Cricetulus griseus: one gene and its partners. The protein of the gene in region 6 purifies or fractionates together with the protein of the main gene of each other region. This does not show direct contact. Links are inferred from orthologs where the notes say so. Each region holds a gene or a part of one and is shown on either strand. Other genes may lie near its edges. The genes, in order: Vps72, Mbtd1, Epc1, Meaf6, Actl6a, Mrgbp and Epc2.

Region 1 (4,127 bases), on a different chromosome or scaffold from region 6:
ACTGGGCTTTTGTTATGGTTGCTGCTGTTTGATTTTGTTATTGTTGTTTTGAGGCAGGGTCACATTTTGTAACCCTACCTGGCCTAGAACTTGCTATGTAGAACAAGCATAGATCTCTAACTCACAGAGAGCCCTGGCCTCTGCCTCTTGAGTGTTAGGATTAAAAAGGTATGAAACACCAGGCCAGGTACTTAGTTGCTTGTGGGTTGTTGATGTTGTTTTCTTTCTTTAGACAAAAGCTTTCTATGTGACTGAGGCTGGCCCAGAACTTCCCATGGTAACCCAGGCTGCCCACAAATTGTCATCGTCCTGACTTGGACTCCTAGTGCTAGGGGTTACGGATGTCTGCCCCCACCCCTGCTTTTAAGGCACTGTTCTCTGTTTGCTTGTTTTCTTTGAGATAAGGGCTTCTCTGTGTAACCCTGACTGTCCTGGAACTCCTTCTGGAGCCCTGACTGGCCTCAAACTCAGAGATCTACCTACCTACCTCTGCCTCCCTAATGAAGGGATTAAAGGCATGCGCCACCACCAGTCAGCTTCATGTTTTTTTTTTTTTTTCTTAATTGAAATAATGTTTTTGAGCATGCTAGGGATAGAATCCAGGAGCATGCAAACTAAACAAACATACCTCCGCTGTGTTATATCCAGGCTTCTTTTCATTTTTTAAACTTTGAAACAATTCTACTACACTAACTAGGCATGATTTGAATTTGTGATTCTCTTGCCCTATAATGTGTGAGAGTTAGGACTGACTGTCATTGGAATTTTAGAGGAGGGAAATGAAAAGGCCAGTATTTTTAGAAAGGCTCCTACTAACAGAATTAAAATAGAGGTGGTGAGGAAAAAAGGGCTTGCTGCGGGCCTAGTACACAGCCTTTCTCTGTGTAGCTTTGGAGCCTGTCCTGGCACTCGCTCTGGAGACCAGGCTGGCCTGGAACTCACAGAGATCCTCCTGCCTCTGCCTCCCCAGTGCTGGGATTAAAGGCATGCGCCACCAACGCCCGGCCTAGCACACAGTTTTAAATCTAGTACTCAGGAGGCAGAGGCAGGAGGATCTCTATGAGTTCGAGACCGGCCTGTACTACACAGACAGTTCCATGCCTGCGAGAAATTATGCAGCGAGACCCTGTCTGAAAACAAACAAACAAACAAAAGGTGGGTGGTGTGGAGGGGACATCCTGGTACTGTTTCTAGGCTCTGCCTAAGAGTGGCCAGGACAGCCTGGTGAAGAAGGCTTAGAGGCTAGATTTAGAAGCGTTCGATGCTCGGTTGCTTTTGCCTGTAGTCGCCGGGCTTCCGCCATTGGCTGCCGCCCACAGGAAATAGTGTCGAGCTCCGATTTCCGAGAACGCGAACTGGGCAAGGGGTTGCGGGCGGCCGCACAGTCTCTGTAGGCGGTATGAGTTTGGCTGGAGGCCGGGCCCCTCGGAAGACCGCTGGGAACCGCCTTTCTGGGCTCCTGGAAGCAGAGGAGGAAGATGAGTTCTACCAGACGACTTACGGGGGTTTCACGGAGGCAAGAGCCGGGCCCAGGAAGAGGGAGGGGAGGAAGCGGAATCTTGAAGGGAAAACCCTGGACAAAGAGGAAGGGGGCGGGGAGTAGAGAGAGGTGTTCTGAGAGCCAATGCTCCGGACTGGGTGACACTGTGAGTGCCTGGCTTCGTCTGTGTGTCTGCCTTTTCTTGTCCTGTTGTCGGGCTATCTACGAAGAGGAACCGCTTCAGAAACAGAAACTTCATTAGCACACTCCGTTTTCAGCTCTCAAATAATACGGTTTTCTTAGATGACCGACCCTCTATTGGCCGTTCTAAGAGAATCCCCATTTATATTTCTATCATACAAACAGAATTTCAGTTTCTAATTAAATTTGGCTTCTTTTCATTCTCTGGTTGCTTTGTAAGGTCTGTAAGCTTAGAGTTCAGTTTTTTGTTTGTTTTTTCGTTCAGGGCTGCCTCTTGGCTAAATTTTTTTATTAATAAAAACTGTTCATTGATTAAATATATGTGGAGCACCCAGGTCAGTGTACCATATATGATGGGTTGTGCTGAGCTCCTTGGAAACATATTAAAAACTGCCCTGAGGTTGGGACTATTGTTTGTGGCGCAGTGGTAGACCACTTGCCTAGTAAGCCCTAGATCCTGGGATACCAGCCCCTGGCAAAAAAATGAAAAGGGAAGCCCCATCCTGCAAGGAACTGACTGGTTTCACAATCAACTAAGATACTTCATGATAAAGACTTAAAGTCAAGGAAGCATGAGATACTGTGGTAACCGGGAGAGGTTTGTGTTTTGTTTTTTTTTTTTAATTGTATTATATTTGTGTGCTTGCATATGAAGATCAGAGGGCAGCTTGCAGGGATTCAGTCTCCATCCATCATAGGAGCCCCAGGAATCAAACTCGGATGGTCAGGATTGTACAGCCAGCTACTTTACCCACTGAGCTATCTTGAAGGCCCCAGAGTGGTTTAAAGGTAGGCACTCATGGGGAAATAACATTTAAACTGAGGATATTATATAAAAAGTAGGCGTTGGTTGGATGAAGAGTCAGGGAAGAGAAAGGCTCAGTTGGAGAAGAAGATGAAATAGTCTGTTTGTAGAGGCGCCGAAGCCCCACTGTGACACCTACAAGTCTTTTGTTCTCTGGAAGAGTAAAGATTGTGATAGCTAGAGGTTGTAGACCTGAGCTGGATTTGTTTTGGAAGGTTTTGTTTTGTTTTTTAGAGACAGGGTTTCTCTTTGTAGTAGCCCTAGCTGTCTTGGAACTCACTATGTAGACCAGTCTGGCTTCACAGAGATCCACCTGCCTCTGCCTCTCATGTCCTTCTTAGGTGCCCTCTCCCAGGAGTACCACTCCCATGTAGCCCTGGAACTCAGAGATCCACCTGCCTCTACCTCTCGAGTGCTGGGATTAAAGGTGTGCCCCACTACCCCTGGCCTTATGTAGTTTTTTTAAAATGGGGTTACTTAGCCAGCCTCAAAGTCTAGGCAGCCCCCTGCCTCACACTCTTGATTCCTGGAATTGCAGGTACTTGTCACTACCCTTGGATTCCCCCTCCACCTCCGAAATCAGATTTTGAAGGACATAATGAAGCAGCATTAAGCAGTTTGACTGCTCATTTAGAGGTCTGAGATGAGGCATCAAAGTTCCATCGTTATATTTGTGATTAAAAAGATTACTCTCTAGCTGGTGGTTTCCGGGAGGCTGGGACAGGAGTATTACCACCAGTTCTAAGCCACATGGGCTGTGTTTCCAGTTCTGTCCTGACTCTGCCATATATATAACTATGAGATAAGCCTAAAGAGGGCAGTGGCAGAAAAGAAACATGGACAAGGGCTGGGCTGGGGATGTCACTCATAGGATAGTGTTGAGAGTTGAAGGGAGTTTTTTGAAAGAAAAAAAAAAAGTAGACAAGACTTTATGACTAACTAGGAGCCTCTGTGTACACAGCTTTAGTAAACTAGTTTAAAATAGATCTCTCTCATTCTTCCTCCAAGGTTCATTTTCCTATTCCTGTCATTTTATGAGATGTTATTTTAATAGGTGCACCTCATGCTTCCAAAAAGGATTTAAGAAAGGTTACAATAGAAACAAAAATTAGGAACAATAAAAATAGAAAATGAGCAGAACAAAATATATTAATGTATGAAATTTCAAAGACTAAATAAAAATATTTTTAAAAAATCAGAAATATTTGTGCCAAGAATCTAGCTAAAATGGAAATATTTGATAATTCTGAGCTTCCTGGTAGCCAGACTGAATCCGTTCTTTTCTAAGACTGAAATATATGATATATTCAAGAAAGACAAACCTATTTAACATTAACTTCTAGGAAGAATGTCTCATTATTTCCTTACATGAAGTACAACTAAAGTAGTAACAGGTTTGGTAGATGTAGAATGTCCTCTTGTTGTGTATTAAGGAGTGGAAAAGATCTTGTCCAGTGCTACGACAGTAAATCCGGAGTGTAGTAAAAACATTAAGATTGGGCACACTAGTGGGAACTTGATCTACCACTCTCTGGTAATGTGGCTTAATACCAGGGTAGAGCTGAGTTAATGTGTTCTGAGTCTCTTTCACAAACATTAGTTAGGAAGAACGGTGGTCACTTGTGCTGGATTGAACTCTGG
Region 2 (4,291 bases), on a different chromosome or scaffold from region 6:
CCAACCAACCAAAAAAAAAAAAAAAAAAAAAAAAAACAACAACAAAAAAAACCAAACCCAAAACCAGTTGTTCCTGTCTAGTATGTTTAGAATGCAAACGCTTCCAAAGTCAGTCCAATTATGTCATGACAGTTCATGTTAAAGTTAGCAGGAAAAAAACTTGAAAGCCCATACTGACTCAAACTTTGAAAACATGAGTAAAGAGCTCTGTAAATTTTCACAGCTAGGATCCACTAGTGACTAGCCCTGAGGGAAATTCAAGCTCAAAGTTACAAAATGGTTAAAAACCTTGGCTCAGGAGAAGATATTATGAACAGACACTTATTCAAGACAGCTTTTGCCCTAATCTGCAAGGCATTTGCAATCCTTGAATATGGGGTTCTATATAAATAGAAGCTACTTGTTATTCAGAGGAGGTGGTGCAAAAACAGCTATTTTCTTTCTAAACACTCTTTGGTGTTGAGGTAAACAGTCTGAAACACACAAGAGCAAAGCAACTGCTCTATCATAGGCTGGGGAACAGGAAAAAGTTTGCTTTAACAGTATCAGGAGATACTGGGAGTTAAGCACATCAGTGGGTGCCAATATGTATTTTCAAGTGAACTACTAGGTGACAAATTCTGCTGCATATTAATGTAGAGATGATTAAAAATACTGAAAACTCAAAAGTAAACATTAAAGTGTTATAAACACTTTAAGTTTCATATAAGAATTGTTGGGGGGGGGAAGGTTGCTCAGTAGGTAAAAGTCTTGCCGACAACCTTGATGACCTGGGTTTGATACCTGGGTCCCACATGGGAGTTGAGATGATGACTTCAACCTGTCCTCTGACCCCCCCCCCAATGTAGCATGCGCTATCCCATAATACACTAATGTTAAAACAAAACAAAACAACCCTTTGTGCTGCACAGCCTTCCCTTTTTGTAGGGGGCTGGGTTTGCAAAGACCACAAGTCAAATCGATAGGAAGGAACAGTTTTGATTGTTTTACCGGTAATTGCCTTCATCAGCTTCAACACTATTCCTTTCTAGGCCCAATTTTAGACATTCTTAGGAAAAGTGATTCAGGCACAGGCAAATGTAACTGGCAGTACTAAGGAAATGGAGTTAAAATTCCTAATCTCAAGAATACCAGCGAGACAACCATGAAATCCCCACGTAGACATTCTCTAGCTTCCCGAGAATACTATCAACTACCTTTAGTCATGTAAGCAGCACACTTGCAACCGACCCGGCAGGCAAAGTTTTCAGTTGGCCTTCACTATCTCTTAACTCTCCCCACCCCCCTTCCTCCACTTCCTTGCTCTTCTTTCCTGGCAGGAAAATATAGGCCAATGAGCAGTGGGTGGGTGAGGAGGATGTGAGAACAAATTTGAGAAGTAAAAAAGGGAGCAACTTAACCAGGACATGAATGAGGCTGAAGGGTCTAATAAGGGCAGACAAACGAGTATCGTTATCAGAAAGACTGAAAATAATGGAAGGTGCTTTCCTCGGCGGGCGGCAGTGCGTGTCATTATGTATGCAGGTTTAAGTAGAGGTCAGACTACCTACCACTTGTCAGAAGCTGGACAGGGGCGGCTGCTTGGGGTGACTTCTAGTGTCTCTTCCGACTCTGAAATGTTAGGATTACTAGTTCACAAAGGAGAACGAAAGGATGATGGAAGCCCACCACCGCCTTGGAACTCTTCTGAAGCAGCAGCCTCGGCCGCCGACTCCCCGACACCACTCCTACGTCTCCCTCCCACACGTGCCCACCCCGCCCCCTTTCAATATCAGCACCTCCACGTGCAAAATGCCTCACGGCACTGGCCCCACACTAGTGGGCACCTTCCCCTGCAAAGCCTTCAAACTCTGATTGCGCCTGCCCCCACACCCCAGAGAAGGGAGGACACCACTCTCCCACCGTTGGCAGCTTAAAAAAAAAAAAAAAAAAAGGAAACTCTCCTCCGATCTAGCCTTTCTCTTCAGCCAGAACAGGTGGGTGGGGGGGAGGGCAGAGAAAAACTTTCTTCTCAATTCTTCTCAATTTTTTTTTTCCTCCCAGAGAGTAGAGAGAACCCCAAGTCACAAGTTGAGGGGGGAGGGGAACCCCTTGAACGTTTAACGGCCAGCAGGGGGAGGGGAGCTCTGGAGATGGAGGGGGCGTGGGATGAAGAAACAGGCCCGCGAGCGGGGTCCCGGAGCTGCGGGGTTCCTGGGGCCGGGCAGCTGCAGGCGTCCCCCCCCCAAACCTGGCACACAAAGCGGCTGCTGCGCTCGGCTCTCACCAGATCCTTTGTGTTTTCCATCAGGGCCTCATGGGTAGGGGCCGTCCGTGCTCCCCGAGCCCGCGGCGCCCCCTCCCCCCCGAGCAGGGGGCGGGCACCTCTCCCCGGGACTGCGGCGACTACAGGGGGGGACCCCCGGCTGGGCCCGAGCCAGTGGCGGCAGTGGCAGCCCCCGGATTTCCCCCCTTTAACTCGGGTGGCCCCAGGATATCAACAACATTAGCATAGCCCTCCCTCCCCAGCGCGCCTGCGCCGTGACCCGCGCCCCGATTGGCCCACTTCCCCACGTACCCACCTCTCTCCCCTCCAGCGTGGGACCCTCGGCAGGCTCCGTACTCAAGGACCGTACCAAAACCAGAAGGCGATGAGGTAATGAGGGCTCGCGGCAAGGCGTGGGGCCCGGAGTCAGCAGGAAGAGAAGTTTCTTTCAGCCACTTTCATTTCTACTCCGGCCCTCTTGAGTCCCTTCCAATATTGCTGCCTCTGAGAAGTTGTGCTGGGAAAATTTTCCACCCCAGTCACGCCGCTTCCCCCTACACCCGGAAGATTGGCCTTCCCTGAGGAACTCCCACACGGGGAGGGGCTGTCGGACGGAGTGCGAGTGACGTAGCGCGTGAGTGCCGGTCACGTGGCGCGAGGCGGCGCAGGCTCCTTCCGGCTCCCCGGGGCTGGGCCGCGGCGGGGAGCGAGACGCCCCGGCACATGCGCAGTGGTGCTCCACGTGAACGTCTGCGTTTCTCCTCAGACCTGAGGATGCCGCCGGAACGCAGGAGCCGGACGAAACCAGACCGGAGAGCCGGCGCGATGCCGGGGAGGGAAGCCAGGCCCGGGAGCGGCGGCACGCCCCGAAAGGCCGCTCGTTCATCCCAACGGACACCGCAGGCCGGGCAGAGGACGGCCCCTAGCGCGGTCACGGCGGCGGCGGCAGCGGCGGCGGCGGCGGAGGAGGAGAGCCGGCTTCGGCAGCGCAACCGCCTGACGATCGAGGACGACAAGCCGGCCGCCGAGCGCTGTCTGGAGCAGCTGGTCTTCGGCGACGTCGAGGACGACGAGGACGCGCTGCTGCGGCGGCTGCGGAGCTCGCGGGTGAGGGAGGCCTGCTCGCGGAGCGGGCACACGCTGCCGCCGGTGCGCGGCGGGAGGCGAGGCCCGGGGGCGGAGCCTGGGGACCTGCGGCGGCGAGCGCTCAGGTGGGAGGGACCGTCCGACCGCGGGCGCCGAGGGGGCACCGCTGCGCTCTCCGCCTCCGGCGCTGGGCCGCGAGCGGGCGAGGGCGGAGACGCGGTCTTTCTCCGCCCTAAAGGGGCCGCGGCCCTTGGCATCCAGCAGGCGCTCAGCTGCTGCCTTGATTGCCAGAAGGTTTGCCTGCTAACTGGAGAGTTGGGCATCTTCGGGTTCTGATAACCCTCTGCTGGAACCTCCCCCCCACCCCCCGGGGTAGCGGTGTGCTCACCTGTCGCGAGTCCATTTCGTGGATGGAGCCAATGGCGTGGGCGGAAGGCGTAGAGCTGCGTTTTAATAATTTCTCCGTGTGAGACACACGCCCAACTTTTTTGAGAATGATCGGTGTATTCGACTATAACGGTTTTTTTTTTTTTTTTTGGATGCTAGTTCTTCGTAGCAGTTATAAATCCTTCGTGATTGATACAGTTTTGCGCTGTCGTTATTTTCGTTCTGTACCGGGTCCCCCGTCTAAGGTAGAGCGTCCCAGGTATTGTTCTAGGTACCGGAGGGAGACACAGCAATGGAGAAAGCCAATAAAACCCCTGATCTCATGGAGCTTGTGTTAGTAGCGGTAGAAAAACAAGGTAAAGGAGTACGATGGTGGAGAGGAAAATGAAAACATTTGGGAAAGGGAATTAAATTTAGCTAGGGCTGTTGAAACGCCTCAGTAAGAATGCCAGCATTTGCTAAATTAAGCTGACCTTTTGTGTGGGTGCTTCAGTGAGAGGATGTAGCAGTCTCCTTTGGGAGGTGGAGAACAGTTACTTTCCGAGCTGTGTGACAGAAAGGAATCCTTTGGTG
Region 3 (4,181 bases), on a different chromosome or scaffold from region 6:
TAGAGCCTCAACCTAGGTTGCAGACCACTTCTGCCAGTTCCAGTAAGCATTGGTTTCCATCCTAAACTCTTCGGGAGAGGCAGTTAGCGAACCTAGATGCTGGAGGAAAGGCAAGTAAAAAGTCTCACTTCCTCCCAGAGATGATCTGTCAGTATTGGAGTTTTAGGGTAATCTGGAAGAACTGCAGTCGGTATTCTGCTTGTCTGCTCTAGCAAAGCATGCTCTTTTAGGACGAAGGTCGTAATTAATGTTGCATAGAAACAAACCTGAGAGATAGTTTGCCAGTGTACGCTAAACTAATTAACAGTTCATATCAAACCCTGTATTTAAGAATAGTGATTATTTTTACTATGTAGCCCTCAGGGAGAAAAGCAGACTTAAAACAGGTTTTTAAAACCGTGATGAACATTTGAAATTTTGCCGCCAATCTTTCAAAATCCACCCTAACAGCCCTCCCAGTTTATAAAATATCTCACTGAAAAGAGATACCTGGGTACTAATTTTCATGTATAATACAAACCAAATATTCAAAGTCTTATCAACATCTATTTTTTTAATAAATTAACTTTTAATGTCCCTTTTCTGGTGTGGCCGCCGAACCAATACAGGTCTTTGATTCGATTTTATAAAGTTTCCCAGAGAACAGATGGCAAGAGTGTGAACCTACTTACGGCTGCATTGAAGTAACGTTTACTTCTAATACTGCCGAAATGCACCAGCTAGCTAGCGACACGGGCTCTGGAATTTGGAAACTGTGTTTCACCAAAGATTGTTACAATTTGCCGCAATTATCCTGCGAGCGTCAATTAAACTAAAAGGGGTAGGATTGGATAAAAACTGCTTTGGAGCTGAATATATATATAAGTGGTATTTATAGCGAGCCCCGGGTGGGAACTTGACCGGCGATTTGATGACAGAACCTGTTCAGAATTGTAACTCAGTTTTGTTTGACTTAAAGAGTTGGCCTGTGATTTCGCGTGCAGGTTTATTTCTAAGTCCTGCACCTCCCGCACTGCGCTGCGCTGCGCTGCGCTGCGTTGCGCTCGCCCTGCGCGGCCAGCCCCGCGGTGACAGGTGCCCGCGCCCGGGACGCAGGCCCGAGCATCCCGGCCGCTCTTGGCGGCGGCCTTTCCAGGGCCCCGCGCGCGGGCGCCGAGAGCTCGTCGCACCTTCGCCCGTCCGAGGACCGCGCCGGGCGGACGCGAGGCCGCCGGGCGGAGCGGGTGAGGCGAGACGAGACGAGACGAGGCCGGCGGCCGCGGCCGGCGGGCCGGGGGTTGGCGGGACGCGCGCTCCGTGCCGCGCCGCGCCGGCGCCCGCTCGAGCCCGCGCTCCCCCCGCGCGTGCCCGCGCCGCTGCGCGATGCAGTGTGGGGAATGGCTGGGGTTGGCTGAAGAGCGCACAGTGGAGTTTTAATGTCCGCCATGTTGGCCATGGCGTATTGAAGAGAGCGAGTGAGCGAGGCGCGGAGCGGCACAGCCTCCCACCCTCCCGGCTGGTGTCAGGGCCCGGACGGCGGGCTTTGCGCTCCGCCCCCAAGTCCCCGGCAGCGGCAGGCGAGTGGAGACCGAAACCCCGGTTCTCCATGATCCCGCTGGCCGGGGCCGTTTCCCCAGAGCGGAGAGGTATCTGCTGCGCCTGAGATGAGTAAACTGTCGTTTCGGGCGCGGGCGCTGGACGCCTCGAAGCCGCTGCCGGTCTTCCGCTGTGAGGATCTGCCCGACCTGCACGAATACGCCTCGATAAACCGGGCCGTGCCGCAGATGCCCACCGGAATGGAGAAGGAAGAGGAGTCGGTACGTGTTAACTCCCCTGTCCGACCCGCCGCCAGGCCCGCGCCCTCCGCTGCCCGCGGCGGCGGCGGCGGAGCAGCAGACCCACACAAAATGGCCGCCATCTTCTCTCCGCCGCCGACTCTCGGTCGCCGGCCGGGCCGGTCCCCCGCCTCCCCGGTGCTCGGTCCCGGGCCGCTGAGGCCTAGCGGGGCCCCCTCGAAGGCCTTCCGCCGCCCCCGGCCACTGGTACCCGGGTCCCGCGGAGTTCGGGGGCCCGAAAGGCACAAAGGGGTCACGTGACGAAGCCGCCGGCAGCCATTTTGTGGTCTCAGTTCTTGGGTTGGGCCTTGTGCATCCGGAGAGGGAAGCGGGCTGGGCGGCGGTGGGGGTGCAGCGAGCCGGGAGTGGGCCGCGCCTGCAGGTCCCTCGTAGGGCCGCTGGGTGGCGCTCCGGGCCCGCCGCGGCCTGGCAGCGGCTGCCGGCGCAGGCTTCGGGCGCGCTTCCCCGCGGCTCGGTGCAGTCCCCCACGTGGAGCCTCCGAGGGGCCTGTCATGTTGACTTCAGGGCTCAGGCTGATTTCTCTCCCGATTCCTGCAGGAAAATGCCGAGGGTGCCCCTTGTCTGCCCAGACGCCTTTACTTTTAGAGAAGATAAAACTCCCGGTATATGCTTGCTTGCACCGGCTGTGCTTGTTAACCCGGCGGATTTAAAATAAATAAAAGAACCCACTGTCTCCCCCAACTTTTTGATCTTTGAGACAATGTTGCAGATTTGTTTACAATATTGTATCTGTCCTCTGCAGCCTGCAACTTTTTAGTTACTTGTAAGTTAAATTTGGGTTTGCCTGCTTTCAGAGTAACGATGGAGAAGACTCGGTTCAATAACTCTTAAAACTATAAATTTTGAAAGAAGGTCCTTTTTTTTATTAATAGCCGAGCTAAAGTTGAGTGAATTCTTCACAGACATCCTAACATTAAGATGTCCTAACTGGGTGGGCTGCAGTAGTTAAATTGTTTATACAGCTAATGATTTACTTTAGCCGTGGCCTTTACCTTGCTGTGGAAGTTGGGTCCGACACAGAGATAAGAGAATCTTCCTCTCATTTCCCCTAAATCGTTAACATTTTAAATTCTAATTCTGAGGAATTGCATACGTTGGTTTCCAGGTACAGCCACTTAAACAGGGTGCTTTGTGTTGACAGTTCAAGGAAGTCAAGGATTCCCATGGACTTGTGTGCTCCAATTTTGTTGTGGAAAATTGTACTGTAATACTTCTGTGGTACTGTAAGAATTTTCTATTCTCTGTAATGTTTTTCAAAATAAAACTCTTCAAACTGCTTGGGTTGTTTAACCTTTTAAAGTAAAATAGTTTTGACAGTCGAATGTTACTTTGGGGCGGAGGGTCTTGAATCTACCTTCACAGCTGAGTGCTAAGTGTATGTAGTAGATGAGATGTGTGGGTAGTGTGCTGACTTCTCAGCAGCTTATTTGCGAGCGCAGTGCTCTTTATTTTGACCTGTATCAACTTAGAGTAGAATGGTGCCATTTGTTTATTTTTAAAATAAGTGATTTGTTTTTTTAAAAAATTAAAGTACTTGTGACTGCAGAATCTTGTCTTTTTGTTTTATTTTTGTTTCTCTATGTAAGTTTTACAGATATTGCTTTCAAGTTGGGGTGCTGGTGATACCCTGCTTGAGGGATTAACTTGTAGCTCTTGTGAATCTAAGGTGGAAATCATTAAGCAAGAGCAAGACCCACAACAGTGCACTTTAGAAATGGAGTTAGGTCTTGCTTATCTGAGTCTTTTGGACAGTCCCAAGAACTACAATCTAAAACAAGAGCTGAGTTCAACTTAAGGGTCTGTCCATGCATATTAACATTTACAGATAATTTCGGTCACTGAAACAGTCTTGGTATTGTGCAATGACTGTCACTGGGTTTTAGCAGGTGAAGGTCCAACTTTTGTTAGATATGGGGATTTCCTTTTTCCCCCTTGAGGGTACCTTTTTCCATCATCTGTTTAGAATTTTTCAAGTCACAGCCAATCAAAACTGTATATAAGTGAAGCCTAGATTGTTTGATAGAACTTAAAATCCTTCGTAAACAAACTGTGTGTGTCCAGCTGCTAGTGACAGGCTATGTGAGTCATGGTATTGAAGGTAGTATGTTGTGTAGTATTGAAAAGTACCAAGCATGATGTAATTCGGAGGTAATCTTTTGTACTTGGAAAAAGAAGAGTTAAAGCAAAGTTCATGGCATGTGGCCTATGCTTCCTGCCAGGTCCTGTAACCTGGGACCTGAATTGACTGTCCAGTTTAGAAAAGGGCATATACTCTTAATTTAGTGTCAGTCTTGAGACTGTTAAGACATAGAATCTAGTTATCATAATCCAACTTCATGGATTAAT
Region 4 (3,500 bases), on a different chromosome or scaffold from region 6:
AGAATACCAGGCTACACAACCATAACATATATGCAGAGGGCCTAGGTCAGACCCATGCAGCCTCCCATTGTTGGCCCAGTCTCTGGGAGCTTCTGGAAGCCCTAGTTAGTTGATTCTGTGGGTTTCCTTGTGGTGTCTGTCCTTGAACCCTCTGGCTCCTACAATCCTTCATCCCCCTTTTCCACAGGATTCCCCAAGTGGGTACCTTTTCTCTACTAACTATCTATTGATTTATTTATTTTTAAGTTTTATTTTATGTGCATTGGTGTGAAGATGTCAGGTTCCCTGGAATTGGAGATACAGACAGTTATGAGCTGTCATGTGGATACTGGGAATTGAACCCAGGTCCTCTGGAAGAGCTGTCAGTGCTCTTAACCGCAGAGCCATCTCTCCAGCCCTGTTATTTATTTATTATTTTTAATTATATTCATATGTCTGTATGAGGTATGTTCATGTGAGTGCTGTGGGCACCCAAGGAGAGGTGCCGGCTATCCTAGAGCTGAAGTTTTAGGCGGTGAGCCTCAAAGTGAATTCTGGGAATTAGTCTCAGGTCTTCTGAAGAGCAATACATGCTTTTAACCTTGGAATAATTTCTCTAGCTCTCCCCACACCCCATAACGCTTTGCAGAGAAACAGGATTCTCTGCTGGTTTGTCAGTTTTGCCAGGGTCATCAACCCTTATCCTCTGGATGTAAGTCTTCCTCTCTTGTGTGTACTCTTTGTTACATAGCCCTTATGTAGTAGGGTGGTGCTTATGTTGCCATCTGGTTTGTCTTCAGCACTGTCGTCCGGTTACACTGTTGCAGATTGCATGGTTTCCAGGAACTCCCTAGCTTTGATACTTTGAATGTCCATCCCCTGTCAGCTTGTATCTTCTCTGTCACATGGCCTGTGGGCTCACAAGCAGACATTTGCTGCTTACAAGAATTTGGGGAATACTGATCAGGCTTTGGAACCTATTTTCTTTCCTCTAGGGGAACCAGGAAGTGGGACAGAAAGCGATACTTCTCCTGACTTCCACAATCAGGAGAACGAGCCTGCCCAGGAGGACCCCGAGGACCTGGACGGTTCCGTTCAGGGAGTGAAGCCCCAGAAGGCTGCCTCCTCTACCTCCTCAGGGAGTCACCACAGCAGCCACAAAAAAAGGAAGAATAAAAACCGACACAGGTTAGTGGCAAGGTCCCACCCAGTCCCAGAGTTCTCATGACTACTGGGAGGGACTTGGTTGGAATGAAAGTGCCTGGGACAGTGGCAGAGCCCTCATGCTTCGGGTGGCAGAAATCTTCTGGTGCTAGTCCAGTGGGCTGGTGTTCTCTGAGGGAGGAGTGGGTGGCAATAGAGAGGCCCCGCAGGATCAATGGGAGCCACCACGATGGACTGTGACTCCTGAGCATTGGGTCCTTGCTAAGAGGAAAGTGGAACTAGAAAGACTCTGGTTATTGGGAAGCTGTGACCTGGGATGGAGGTTCTTTGAGTCCTGGGCCCCGTCTGCTCCTATGAGAGCTGAGTTGCCATGCCTTCCTTGACTTTTTAAATATGGGTTTGGTTTTGATTGTTATGACTTTTCTATTTTGTAGTTCTCTGAGTATGCTGCCTTCAGATACGGGGAAACACTTAAAGCTCCTAAATGCGAGCATTCCTTCGTAGGAACCACCTGAGCACTGCTACTTTTGCAGTGGGAAATGAGATGGGGATGACACCAGTGCACAGAGAGGTCAGGTGTCTCAGGGGGTTTAGTGGTCACTCTGCCTGGGTTTGTATGCTGATGCTGGGCCTTAGCTCAGAGGGTGATGAGTCTGCAGGGCAAGGGGCTCTCCCTCATCCTGGTCTTGGAAGCCTGAACACTTTGGGGGTGAAAGGGGTGTGCAGGGCTAAGGAATTGCATTGCATTAGAAAACTTCGGGGTGTCCCTTCCTGCACCTAAGGTGTTCCACTGTGAACTTCATAGACGTGGCACTGTGGCTAATATAGAATTAAATTTAACTGGTTTCAACCTCTTTAGTTTTTAAGTTTTTCTTGTTTTTTAAATTGCAGAAATAGTGTTTCCTCCAAATAAATAGTGCTGAAGGACCACCGCTTTACTGTTTTCTGCAAACCAAAAACCACTGTGCTAATCTCAAAGTATAGTAAGAAACAGCAAAGAATTGTCCCCTACCATCTTGGTAAGGATGTAGGTTGTTGGAGCATTGCGGTAGGCTTGGGGCTACCTTATCACAAACAATAGAGACCCATACTCTTTTTAAAGAGTATTTTGTGGGCTGGGAAGATGGCTCAGTTTGTAAAGTGCTTGCTCTGCAGGCTTGAGGACCTGAGTTCTAATCCCAGCACCCACATCAAAGCACTCAGTGCATTGTATGTGTCTGTAAACCCAGCATTGGGGACATTGATATCCTGGGGGCTTGCTGGCCAGCCAGTCTAATAGAAGTGATGGGACCCTTTCTCAAAGACTACATGGAGAAACACCCAGCATTGACCTCTGACCTCCATATGCACACACATATATACTACATACACACAAATTGGCAAGATAATTCAATATTTTCTTCTGTGTTGTTTTTATTACATTTAGTTTCTTGTCATTTTGGGGATTCTTTTCCTATTTCAGAGTGTCTAGAGCAGGGAGACCATTCTTGAAAGTCCCTGGGACTCTGCACCACTGACCAGTGTCCTCTCTAGATCCTGCTGGTTTCGTGTAACACCTCATTTGCACTAGCGATGTGGGCAGCTCTTGACTGGTGAAAGGCGCTAGAGAAGTGTTCCCTTTAACTGTCCTTGCAGGGTTCTAGAACATCTCCATGGAAATAACAGTTCTTTCTTATCCCTCCCTTTTCCTGGCCCCAGGAATGAATCCCTTCCAGAAACACACTAGCGCTTAGAAAGACAGTTCTTGGGGACTGATCTCCTAAGGGGCAAGTCTGGCTTAGAAGGTGGACTGGGTTTTTAGCTCCAGAATTCCTGCCTCAGTGGTGGCCTCCCAGGGCCTGGTGTGCTCATCGGCCCCCAGAAAGGCTTGTGGCACACGTTGCTTTGTTTCTTAGGAAGCTGACCCCAGCTTCCTAAGTGGTGTCTCAGTGGGCTAAGGCTGTTGCAGTCCTCTTTGCTACCTTTGTACACTCAAGGGCAGGGGTGGAGCACATTATTCATACACGCTGGTGAGCTGGCACCCAGAGCAGCGCTTCCTTCTCCACTGTGCGGTGGCCCCTGTAAGTCAGGCCACGGTGACAAGATGTCCAAGGACTTGCCACATGCCCCCATTTGAGGAGAAGCAGGAAGTAGTCGAACTTACCATTTACCCCCCCCCCCCAGGAGGGGGGATGGAACACAAAGCTTCAACTGTGCTAGTCAAATGAAAATCGCCAGTTTTCTAAATTCTTATATTTTACATATCTGAACAACAGTTAAGTCCCACTGTCTTTAAAGAGAAAAAAGTAAATACTAGCTGCTCTTAGAGGTTTTTACTATTACATCATACCCAAGATTTGTTTTTGTAAATCATTGCT
Region 5 (3,500 bases), on a different chromosome or scaffold from region 6:
TCTGTAATATAGCATGAACTAGCCAGTGCTTTAATTACTACACATTGAATAACTGGGGTCCTTCCTCCCTTCTGCAGTGGAACACCAGGGCAAAGAGAGAGAAACTGACAGAGTTGATGTTCGAACACTACAGCATCCCTGCATTCTTCCTTTGCAAAACTGCAGTTTTGACGGCGTATCCTTAAACAATGTGACCGCTTTTCTCTGTGATTGTAAGATATTAGTGAGGATGTGTTTTCCTTTTTTTCTAGCTTTTTACCTATCTTTGAGTATTTTTAAGTTTTTTTCCCTGTTGTTGGTATATGTACACAGTGCTGGGTTTCATAATCACAATCTCCTTCAAATATATCATGTACCTGGACCATATTCACCCGACTCCTTAGATTCCCCTGCATGCTCTAATAGTCTCCCTACTTTCTTTTTCCACTCTGCCATCCAGGGTGGGTGCATATGCATGCACACAAATGCATGTGTTTTTAATGTATCTGTGAAGAATACTTGGATTTGCAAATACCGTTGTACATGTAGTATCTGTTTGCCTTGTCTCATGTAATTTTTTTCTTCAGTTTTTGTGCAAACAGCATTATTTCATTCCTCCCGGGTAATCAAATCTCCCATGTGTGTGTAGACCAAGTTCTCTTCATGTTGATGGACACCTAGGCTGACTTTATGACTTGGCTGTTGTAAGTAGTGCTATCATGAGTGTGAGTATGCAGGTATCTTGTGCTGTGTTGACTTAGTTCTTTTGGCATAGACCTAGTAGGTCTAAGTGGATACTAAGTAACTTTGTAATTTTTTGAGGACCCTCTTTACTAATTTTCATAGTGGCTGGACTAATTTACAAACTGGCAGTGAGTTCTCCTTCCCAACATCCTCATCGACTTCTGCTGTCTGTTCTTTTGCTGATAGCCATTCTGATTCAGGTGAGATGAAATTTCATTGTGGTTTTAATTTGTATTTTTATGGTAGATTTAAGGGTGTTGAGCATTTTCTCTTGGTTATTTGCCATTGGTAATTCATCTTTTAAGAGCTTTGTATTCATGCCATTAGGCTATTATTGATTAGCCTGCTTGTTTTTGGTCTAGTGTTTTGAGTTAGGTATGTATTCAGATAGTAATCCTGTGTCTGATGTGTATCCAGCAGATTGTCTGCAATTTCTGTGGGTAGTATGTGCTTCTGGAGTCTTTCTAAAATCATTTTGTGCTGTTAGGATGGTTTTCTGGGCTCCTTTTCTCTACTTTGAGGCTGTGCTGAACTTGTTTTGTGCCCACCATGTTCTCTTGACTCTTGTATCTCCTTCTTGCTCTTTCTCCATCCACATTACACCCCCTCCCCCATTATTGCTGAAGTCCCAGGAATAGGCTGGGTGGTCTGTTCTTCATTTTTCCAGGACATGCCAAGCTTTTCTTTCTGCAGATAAACTGACCTCTGTTTTACTAAACAAGATACCCTTTAGGGCAGAGATGGCTTGGGTTAGTTTTATGAATCCTTTGTCTTTAAGGAACGTTAGTGGCAGCCTTGTTGTATCCTCCACCCCCACCCATCTCTGTCGTTTACCTCCTCTGAAATGTTACTAGTCACCAGACTCGGGAGGACGTAATAGAAGTTGAGGAACCAGTGAAAGGCCCAACTCATAAACTTGCATATGGGTTGTCGTGTGTAGTTGGGGGAAATGAACCTGCCTTTTTCAGCTGTTGAGTCCACCTGGAATTGCTTGTTGGGCTTACTGGGGTAGAGGCTGGAACCACCAGCTAGCTGCCATATCACTGCAGTGCTTCTCCAAGCTCTCTACCCAAGGTTCTCACAGCCTCTTGCTGTTCTTGTCAAGTTTGTAAATTTTGTTTAAAAAAATTTTCTCAATTTGTTATAAGCCTTTTGATCAATTGTAGAAGTTTTCAATATGCTCGTTTTGACCCGCTTAATTAAAAAAGGGTTCTGCATAGAAACTGCTCTGGGAGTCCTCCTTGTGGAAGTTCATTTTCAAGATAGATTAATTACTGACACCCATTTTTCTCCCTAGACAGCTTTTTTTTTTTTTTTTTAATTCTTTTATTAGTTCAAATTAGGAACAAGCCTGCTTCACATGTTGATCCCTCCCCCTTCTTTCTCCCCTCCCCACCAACATCCCACTGCCCCTAGCTATCCCCCCTCCACTCCCCAGGCAGGGTAACGCCCCCAAAAGGGGCTCCCCAAAGTCTACCACATCATCCTGGGCCAGGCCTAGGCCCTTCCCCATGTACTAGACAAGCTTTTATACAATGCAGGTGATAAAGTATGTTTAAAGAACTGGCTTGAACATTACAAGAGCCAGCCTGTCATAATCAGCACTATCCTTGGAGCCTCGATGCTTATTTTTCCTTAATGCTTTAAACTAGATTTGCTAATGGTCGTTCTACTGGACTGATTTTGGACAGTGGAGCCACCCACACCACTGCAATTCCAGTCCACGATGGCTATGTCCTTCAACAAGGTAACTACTTAATGAGGGCACAAGATTACTTTCCCTGTCATGAGGACACAGATAATAAAGATAGATCAGGAATTCTATTGGAGCCATTCATTCCCAAGTGAATATGTTTTAAGTGAATGCATGGCTTTATGCTTTGAGAGGATAGTTTGGATAATTCTACTCAAAGAAACCTACACATATGCCAACACATTCACAGTCCCAAGGAATTCAGACTTTTGGCATCTTCAGCTTTGTTTGATTTGATTCTCAGGCATTGTGAAATCCCCTCTTGCTGGAGACTTCATTACCATGCAGTGCAGAGAACTCTTCCAGGAAATGAATATAGAGCTCATTCCTCCATATATGATTGCATCAAAAGTAAGCAGCATGAGAAGTTTCTTAGTGAGCCCTGCCTTGTGCTTCTGCTCCTGTGTGGGGAAGCCTCTTAGAAAGCATGTGCTCTTGGTGTTCTCAGGAGGCTGTTCGGGAAGGCTCTCCAGCCAACTGGAAAAGAAAAGAGAAATTGCCCCAGGTTACAAGGTCTTGGCACAATTACATGTGCAATGTGAGTAACCCCTATTGTCTTTATAGAGTGTTGGTTCTAAGTTACATGTTTTTAACATTTGACAAAATGAATACCTTAGGGGTGGGGAGCACTTGCCATATTATCAAAGCAGTCCCTACAGACAAATATAGCAGCTTGAATACATGGAAGAGGTTTTGGTTTTAGGGTAGAAATAGTTTTAGCACACTATTTTATAATAGTGTGCTATTATAGCACACTATAGCATTTTTAAGATGCTTTTAACTGAGCATGAGTTTGAGGCCAGCCTGGTCTACAGAGTGAATTCCAGGACAGTCAGGGATACACAGAGAAATTCTAAAAACAAAAAAGAAGATGCTTTTAGTTCATGTCAAACTTAGTATAACTTAGGTATGATTTCTTCTCTAGCATTAATTAGACATTCAGGAGTATGTCTCATTGCTTCAACAATGAGTCAATGAGACTTTTTACTGAAAATCTGTGTCTGAATATGTAGACCTATGTGGG
Region 6 (4,088 bases):
TGCTCTGCCCAGCACTTGGCCCCACCCAATCCAGTGTGGCGTTGTGGCTGTTATACCAGAGTCATTAGTCCCCAAGAGACTACCAGGAGTCTGAGCTCCTATGCAAAAGCAAAGAGCCTTTATTGCAAGCTCCAGGTTGGGCTCTCCATCCGTTCCAACAGGGTGGTTGGATCAGGAAGAACATTGAGCTTAGCTATGGCGGGTTTTTTAAGGAGTAAAGGATGGGGTGTAAGGGAATTCTGGCTTCAGATCGGGGCTAAACTCCAGATTGGGCAGGAGTGAGGCAACAGAAATCCTGTCAAACAGGGATTGGTGCAGGCATTGCTGCAAGGAAATTGTCAACCTATATACAAGTTAGGTAAGCTATTCTTAGTGTTCTGAAGCATCTAGTATTTGTTTGTCTCAATTTTGATTGGTCCCCTGCAGGGTACAGTCTGTGGTTTTTCCTGGTTATTTTAAGAATGAGGCCTAGTGCCAGTATTGTTAGCCTGCAGCCTGTCATGGCTGCACTGATGTTAAGTTAGGCCTCTTCAGTGGCCAGACCAGAAACTAACACCTGTCTGAATTCATCACCAACCCACTTCTGGTGGAGCTCAACTGTGGGGACAGTACGGAGGTAGAAGTAGATGGCAAGGCCAGCAGGACCCAGATGCCAAGGAAGCACCGAACTCTGGGACTGTCATGAGCAACCAGGCCAGGGCCATTCTGAGATGATAAGAGCCTCAATTCTACAAATTGTGGTTGTCAGGCTTTTATTTTTACTTATTTATGGTGTGTGTGTGTGTGTGTACACACACACATACACAATGGTATGGATATAGAGGGTCGACTTGGTTCTCTCCTGCCCCCTGCAGGATCCAGGGGTGAGGCTGCAGTTATCAGGCTTGTGCACAAGCGTCTCTATTGGATGAGCCATCTCACTAGCCCCTGGCTTTAAAACACAAACAAACAACTTTACTGAGATGTAATTTACACACTGTATGATTTATTACTGGCAGGGGGAGAGCCTGAATCTTTTTAACATATTTAACTTAGGGGCGTGTGTATCATGCCATGTAGACTGACTGACTTGGAACTCTCAGAGATTCTCCTGCCTCTGCCTCCAGAACGCTAGGATTAAAGGAGTGCGGTGTTCTTTTAAAGCTAAGGTTTCTGCCAGCTCCCTCTCTGGCCAGAGCCGGAGGCAGGGAAAGGGCTGACCACCAGGGGGCGTGCCGGCACCGGAAGCCAGCCTTTGTTGCGCCTGCGCGGACGCGGATACGCGGCGATCCGGAGCCCAGCTAGCGCGCGCCCTCCACACCGAGTGCGCCTGCGCGGAGCCTGTAGCAACCCTTCTCTCGCCGGACGCTTGTGGCTCGCCCGCGGCCATGGGGGAGGCCGAGGTGGGCGGCACGGGCGCCCCAGGCGACAAGGGCCCCGGCGAGGCAGCCCCGAGCCCTGCTGAGGAAACGGTAGTGTGGAGCCCTGAGGTGGAGGTGTGCCTCTTCCACGCCATGCTGGGCCACAAGCCTGTCGGTGAGCGTCGCGGCGAGCCGCGCACCCGCATGGGGGTGGGGCGGGTAAACGGGCGGGCGGGCGGGCGAGCGCGGGCGGGCGGAGCCTGCGACCTCACCCGAGACGGGACCTCCCACTTCGGAGTGCCCAGTTAGTCCAAGACCCCATGACGTTCCTGCCCGAGAAGCCCTCTCCCGGGGGACGCCCCTGACTTCCCTGCCCTTGAGACACTCCTACCCCAGGGACCGCCTCCACAGTCCCCGCCTCTGCAGCCCCCCTTGCCCCGGACCCGCCTACTGTATACTTACTTGCCCCTGGGACACCCACTTGCCTCCTGACACCTCTATCCTCTTTGACACCTGACTCCTGCAACACCCCCACCTGCCATTTCATACCCCTGCCCCTCCAACGTCCATGCTGTCTGCACAGAGATGCAGCCCTAACCCCTAACCCACTGTCCTGCCTCTCAGGGGTGAATCGACATTTCCACATGATTTGTATTCGAGACAAGTTCAGCCAGAATATTGGGCGCCAGGTCCCATCCAAGGTCATCTGGGACCATCTGAGCACTATGTATGACATGCAGGCACTGGTGAGTTGGACCGTGGCTCACCGCTTTGGGGCTGAAGGTGGAGACGGGTCCCACCCACATCCTGTCTTCCTAGGATCATCTGTGGTAGTACAAGACAGAGCCCACCGGTCACGTGGGGTTCACTATGCAGAGCAGAGAAGAAGTGATCTCAGTAGATGAGGCCCTTCCTCAGGAAAGCCCAAGTCCTGCTGTGGAAAGCACTAACTAGTGATGGTCTCTGACCACTTTTGCTTTAGATCTGGGGTGGCCACAAGAAGTCTTCCAGGGAGATAGATAGTTGGCTGCTGAGATGCCAGAGAATAGCATCAGCCTCAGTGTAAAGTAGTAAGAGGTCCCGAGCGCTCTAGGTGGAGGCTGACCCCATCTGAGTCCCATTGAGGTGCACTGGATACCCCTGTGGGAGCCAGATGTAGTCCTCTTTGTAGAGCTTAGAGGTAGCGCTGTCTGATGGGTGACTGTGTAACTGGTTTGGAGAGCTGGCAATGTGTGACAGGTATGCAGGGTAACTAGTAACCAAGCTGGGCAGATTTGTCTATAGTGTCTGACAGGCAGTGTAACTTCAGTACCAGGATAGGTGGAGCTGTAGGTGCCTGTGGTCATGGTGCACCTGGGGAACATTGTCCTGGTGGGAATACTGCAGTGGTGAGCCAGGTCAGTTCCTGGTATGCACATCAGCGGGGCTGACATGTTGCCAGTTTCCTCTGGGTGGCACGCGCCTGGTCCTTTTCTCTGGCTTTGTTGGGCTGGTGCTAGCCTGGCCCTCCCTCATTTGAAAAGCCCAGCTGCAGTAGACTCTGCAAGCTAGAGCCAGGAACCCTACCAGCTCAGCCTCCAGCCTGCTCCTCCTGTGCATCTTAGTGAGCTGATACCATTTTCTGTTTCTCAAAAATACAAAAAAAAAACCAAAACTGCTTTGTGCCGGCAGCACGAGTCTGAGATTCTCCCATTCCCAAATCCAGAGAGGAACTTTGTCCTTCCAGATGAGATCATTCAAGAGGTCCGAGAAGGTGAGACTCGGCCACCATCGGGGCTGGGGATTAAAAAAGCCGGACCAGGCCAAAGGTGGGGAGGTCTGGGGCCTCCAGGGAGGTGTAAGGATCCTGCTCAGACCCCACATCCAGTGGCACCCGGGAGGTTTTGGGAACCAAGGGCTGGGGAGAGCGGTGCTCAAAGGCAGTCTCCTGATGGATGCCATCTCGTGATGGACGCCGAGGCCTGTGTGGGCAGCGAGAATCGGAAGCAGTCATGGCCAGACCATCCCCCAACGCTGGCCACCACCGTGGGTTTCCAGTGAACGGCAGCTGTCTCCTCCACAGGAAAAGTGGTCATTGAAGAGGAGATGAAGGAGGAGATGAAGGAGGATGTGGACCCCCACAGTGGGGCTGATGACGGTAAGCGTGGCACGCCTCAGGCGGAATGGGACCAGGAAGCCGTGGAGTCAGAGGGGTGGAGGGTCCACTTAGAGATGAGCTCACCTCAGGCAGGAGGGCCCCTGAAGGCCTGGAAGGGGCCAAGCATTCAGCTGTCCCTTCACTGAGACCAAGGCCAAACCTGGGAGCATCAAGTGTGCTCAGACAGGAGACCCCTAGGGAGATGAGGCGTCTCTTATAGCCCAAGCTTCACAGGACTCCCACCCAGGGTAACATTAGGTGCAGAGAGCCTGATGTATATCTCATTATCTAGCTGAACAGGAAAAAAAAATGAGTTTGTGTATATTTTGTCTTCAGCCAAATGATTTTGTTTCTCAGTTTTTTCATCTTCAGGGAGCTTGGGGAAAGCATTAGAAAAATCCAGCAAAGACAAGGAGAAGAACTCCTCAGACTTGGGGTGCAAAGACGGGGCAGACAAGCGGAAGCGCAGCCGGGTCACTGACAAGGTCCTGACTGCCAACAGCAATCCCTCCAGCCCCAGTGCTGCCAAGAGGCGCCGAACATAGACACCTCAGCCCCAGGTGCCACAGAGATGCGCTAATGCTGCAAGCCCTCACTGCCTGTTCTCAGGT
Region 7 (2,576 bases), about 120 Mb from region 6:
TTAGAGCCTATGGCTATCATTGTTAGTAGCAGGCAGTTTTACACAGAATCATGAAAGAGTAGCCACTGAGTTTGGTTTGCTTTGTTTTTTGTGAGTCTCTTCAGATAACTAACCTGAAGTTTTTGCAGTCTTCTTCAAAGTTGGATTGGTCCAGGTTTTTACATTTTGATAGAAGTGGCTATTAATCATGTCTGTGATTTTATTTTATTTATGGTGTCTGCTCATTAAGCAGTTTTAAAGTGTTCATTATTACCTAGAAAAGTTAATAGAACTTGGATTTTTCAATTTAGTTGTTTTTCTCAGAAATAATTGCTTGCTAGTTTCTAGTGATTTTCATGCTTCATAAACCAAAAAATAAAAACAAAATAAAATAAAAAACCTCACAGCTAAGTACTTTCGACTATTCATGATTAGAAAGGCAATGTCCTTGCGTTCCGAACATTCCTTAATGTGCTCATTAATCCCATCTAACAAAACTGAGGATGTAGGGTGCTGGCAAGATTTCCTAGCTAGTAAAGGCACTTGCTGCCAAGTCTGACAACCTGAATTGGATCCCTGGAACTGCCTTGGTGGAAGAACAGAACCAACTCCTGACAGTTGTCCTCTGACCTCCACACATACTCCATATTCCTGTTTCCCCTGTCACTGGCAGGGGTGGGAGGTGGGGGCAGGGGGGATTAGTAGATAGATACATAGACAGACAGACAGACAAATGTGGAAAACTGAACTGTGCTTCTATCCATTTTATAGGGCTCAAGCACCTCTGACTGTATGTCTAAAACACTTGACTCGGCCAGTGCACACTTTGCTGCATCTGCAGTTGTCAGTGCTCCTGTTCCTAGTCGCAGTGAGGTATCCAAGGAACAGAACACTGGCCACAACAACATGAATGGTGTTGTCCAGCCTTCAGGTACAACTGGGGTTTCACATAATACTTAGTAGTTTGAAGTTGCCACTTACTCAGTTGGGTTTGGTTTTGTTATATGCACAGAGGAAATGTATACAAGTGCTCTTCAGAATGCCTGGACGGATCTGGATGAGGAACTGAGTGTTTCCAGAATTCTCAACACTGTCTTCTGTATGCCTGCCTCCATCCATCCATCCTGATTACATCTTAGACTATCAGTTGCTTCACATGTTAGGAAATATCCATTGAGCTCATTATCAATCACCCCCATTGATTCATCTATGAATTGATTAAAAAGTGAAATACAAAACAGCACAGTCAGTTATAAGGCTTGAGGTTGGGTTTACATACCAATGTGCACATATTCTTAGATATACTTCCCCTGACTTCTCCTTTAGGGATACATTATGGCTGTGAAAGCCTGCCTGCTGCCTACTGCCTGTGCTCCAGGGACAGTGCTTCTCTGTCTCCTCCCAGCTCCCAGCTGAGAACCCTCTAGTTTCATTAGATGTACTCAGGAGCATCCTCCTTCTTTTCTTTCTTCAGCCCGCATTGCTGATCTTTGTATGCCTATAACTGTTTAGGGCAACCCAGCCATCATTCTCATCTGTCCTATTGTGTTTATCTCCAAAGTTGACTCAGAGAGAGATAGCAAAATGCTTGGTGAAGCCTCTTTGTATGACTGTGATATGGAAAGTTAACTGAGAATTTATTGAACTAGAATATGAGTACACTTACTTTCATTAACTAAATTCCTAATTCTTAGGGGGTTTTTTTTATTGTCCCATGACACTAATTGAATGATTTCTCCCCTCTTCTGCAGGACCATCTAAAACAATATATTCCACCAATATGGCTTTATCATCCAGCGCAGGGATTTCAGCTGTACAGCTTGTAAGGACAGTTGGCCACACTACTACAAACCACTTGATCCCAGCATTGTGCACAAGCAGTCCTCAGACGCTTCCCATGAACAATTCCTGCCTGACCAATGCAGTGCACCTCAATAACGTCAGTGTTGTTTCTCCTGTCAATGTGCATATCAATACACGGACTTCAGCACCATCGCCAACAGCCTTAAAACTTGCCACAGTTGCTGCCAGTATGGACAGAGTGCCAAAGGTTACTCCCAGCAGTGCCATCAGCAGCATGGCCAGGTGTGTGGCTTTGCACCAGCTTCTTGGAGGAGAAGGGCCTTTGGCTTTTCACTGCTCAAGCAGTATCTGTTGACAGACTTGATTTTTCAAAAAGCTTGAGGATTTGCTTAACACAAAGAAAGCTCTGTGCCCACCGACACCAGTTAGCGTCCTTAAATGCCAACTGTAGAAAGATGAGAATGTCAAATTGATACTTTAGAAGCTTCAGTCACTCATTTTTTTTTATTTTATCTTTAAATTTTTTAAAGATTTATGTTATTTTATGTGTATAAGTGTTTGGCCTGCATGCATGTGTATGCACTGTGTGCATGCCTGGTACCTGTGGATACCAGTGGAAGGCAGGTTCCCGGGGACTGAGTTACAGAAGGATGCAGGACATTGCCTGTGTGCTAAGAATCAAACCTGGGTCCTCTGCAGGAGCAACAAGTGCTCTTAACTGCTGAGCTGTCTCTCTACCCCTATCACATCATATTTTATAGACTGATAGTCTAGGTTGGAGCTATCAGTTCATA

What was found.
Region 1: the proteins of Mrgbp (region 6) and Vps72 purify together in Homo sapiens (co-immunoprecipitation; 5 studies listed by BioGRID and IntAct, counting the BioPlex papers as one, with this or other methods). This does not show direct contact. The link is inferred for Cricetulus griseus from reciprocal best matches to the Homo sapiens genes MRGBP and VPS72.
Region 2: the proteins of Mrgbp (region 6) and Mbtd1 purify together in Homo sapiens (affinity purification with mass spectrometry; 4 studies listed by BioGRID and IntAct, counting the BioPlex papers as one, with this or other methods). This does not show direct contact. The link is inferred for Cricetulus griseus from reciprocal best matches to the Homo sapiens genes MRGBP and MBTD1.
Region 3: the proteins of Mrgbp (region 6) and Epc1 purify together in Homo sapiens (affinity purification with mass spectrometry; 6 studies listed by BioGRID and IntAct, counting the BioPlex papers as one, with this or other methods). This does not show direct contact. The link is inferred for Cricetulus griseus from reciprocal best matches to the Homo sapiens genes MRGBP and EPC1.
Region 4: the proteins of Mrgbp (region 6) and Meaf6 purify together in Homo sapiens (co-immunoprecipitation; 4 studies listed by BioGRID and IntAct, counting the BioPlex papers as one, with this or other methods). This does not show direct contact. The link is inferred for Cricetulus griseus from reciprocal best matches to the Homo sapiens genes MRGBP and MEAF6.
Region 5: the proteins of Mrgbp (region 6) and Actl6a purify together in Homo sapiens (co-immunoprecipitation; 4 studies listed by BioGRID and IntAct, with this or other methods). This does not show direct contact. The link is inferred for Cricetulus griseus from reciprocal best matches to the Homo sapiens genes MRGBP and ACTL6A.
Region 7: the proteins of Mrgbp (region 6) and Epc2 purify together in Homo sapiens (co-immunoprecipitation; 4 studies listed by BioGRID and IntAct, counting the BioPlex papers as one, with this or other methods). This does not show direct contact. The link is inferred for Cricetulus griseus from reciprocal best matches to the Homo sapiens genes MRGBP and EPC2.

What each region holds. Positions count from the first base shown.
Region 1 is NW_023276806.1:61,386,911-61,391,037, reverse strand, and holds the start of Vps72 (vacuolar protein sorting-associated protein 72 homolog), read left to right. Parts: upstream 1-1,327; 5' UTR 1,328-1,399; coding exon 1,400-1,516; intron 1,517-4,127. UniProt on the Homo sapiens protein: Deposition-and-exchange histone chaperone specific for H2AZ1, specifically chaperones H2AZ1 and deposits it into nucleosomes.
Region 2 is NC_048600.1:106,796,784-106,801,074, reverse strand, and holds the start of Mbtd1 (MBT domain-containing protein 1), read right to left. Parts: upstream 2,801-4,291; 5' UTR 2,562-2,800; exon of another isoform or gene 2,558-2,561; intron 2,509-2,557; exon of another isoform or gene 2,267-2,508; intron 1,612-2,266; exon of another isoform or gene 1,551-1,611; intron 1-1,550. Other genes in the region: Utp18 (U3 small nucleolar RNA-associated protein 18 homolog), read left to right, coding at 2,969-3,352. UniProt on the Homo sapiens protein: Chromatin reader component of the NuA4 histone acetyltransferase complex, a multiprotein complex involved in transcriptional activation of select genes principally by acetylation of nucleosomal histones H4 and H2A.
Region 3 is NC_048596.1:208,059,696-208,063,876, forward strand, and holds the start of Epc1 (enhancer of polycomb homolog 1), read left to right. Parts: upstream 1-1,381; 5' UTR 1,382-1,643; coding exon 1,644-1,796; intron 1,797-4,181. UniProt on the Homo sapiens protein: Component of the NuA4 histone acetyltransferase (HAT) complex, a multiprotein complex involved in transcriptional activation of select genes principally by acetylation of nucleosomal histones H4 and H2A.
Region 4 is NC_048595.1:27,952,502-27,956,001, reverse strand, and holds part of Meaf6 (chromatin modification-related protein MEAF6), read left to right. Parts: intron 1-974; coding exon 975-1,167; intron 1,168-1,577; exon of another isoform or gene 1,578-1,714; intron 1,715-2,034; exon of another isoform or gene 2,035-2,162; intron 2,163-3,500.
Region 5 is NW_023276806.1:116,638,970-116,642,469, reverse strand, and holds part of Actl6a (actin-like protein 6A), read left to right. Parts: intron 1-77; coding exon 78-175; intron 176-2,375; coding exon 2,376-2,470; intron 2,471-2,720; coding exon 2,721-2,827; intron 2,828-2,924; coding exon 2,925-3,014; intron 3,015-3,500.
Region 6 is NC_048599.1:1,357,064-1,361,151, reverse strand, and holds the start of Mrgbp (MRG/MORF4L-binding protein), read left to right. Parts: upstream 1-1,288; 5' UTR 1,289-1,367; coding exon 1,368-1,515; intron 1,516-1,964; coding exon 1,965-2,086; intron 2,087-3,011; coding exon 3,012-3,093; intron 3,094-3,402; coding exon 3,403-3,477; intron 3,478-3,834; coding exon 3,835-4,022; 3' UTR 4,023-4,088.
Region 7 is NC_048599.1:124,755,247-124,757,822, reverse strand, and holds part of Epc2 (enhancer of polycomb homolog 2), read left to right. Parts: intron 1-750; coding exon 751-910; intron 911-1,730; coding exon 1,731-2,064; intron 2,065-2,576. UniProt on the Homo sapiens protein: May play a role in transcription or DNA repair.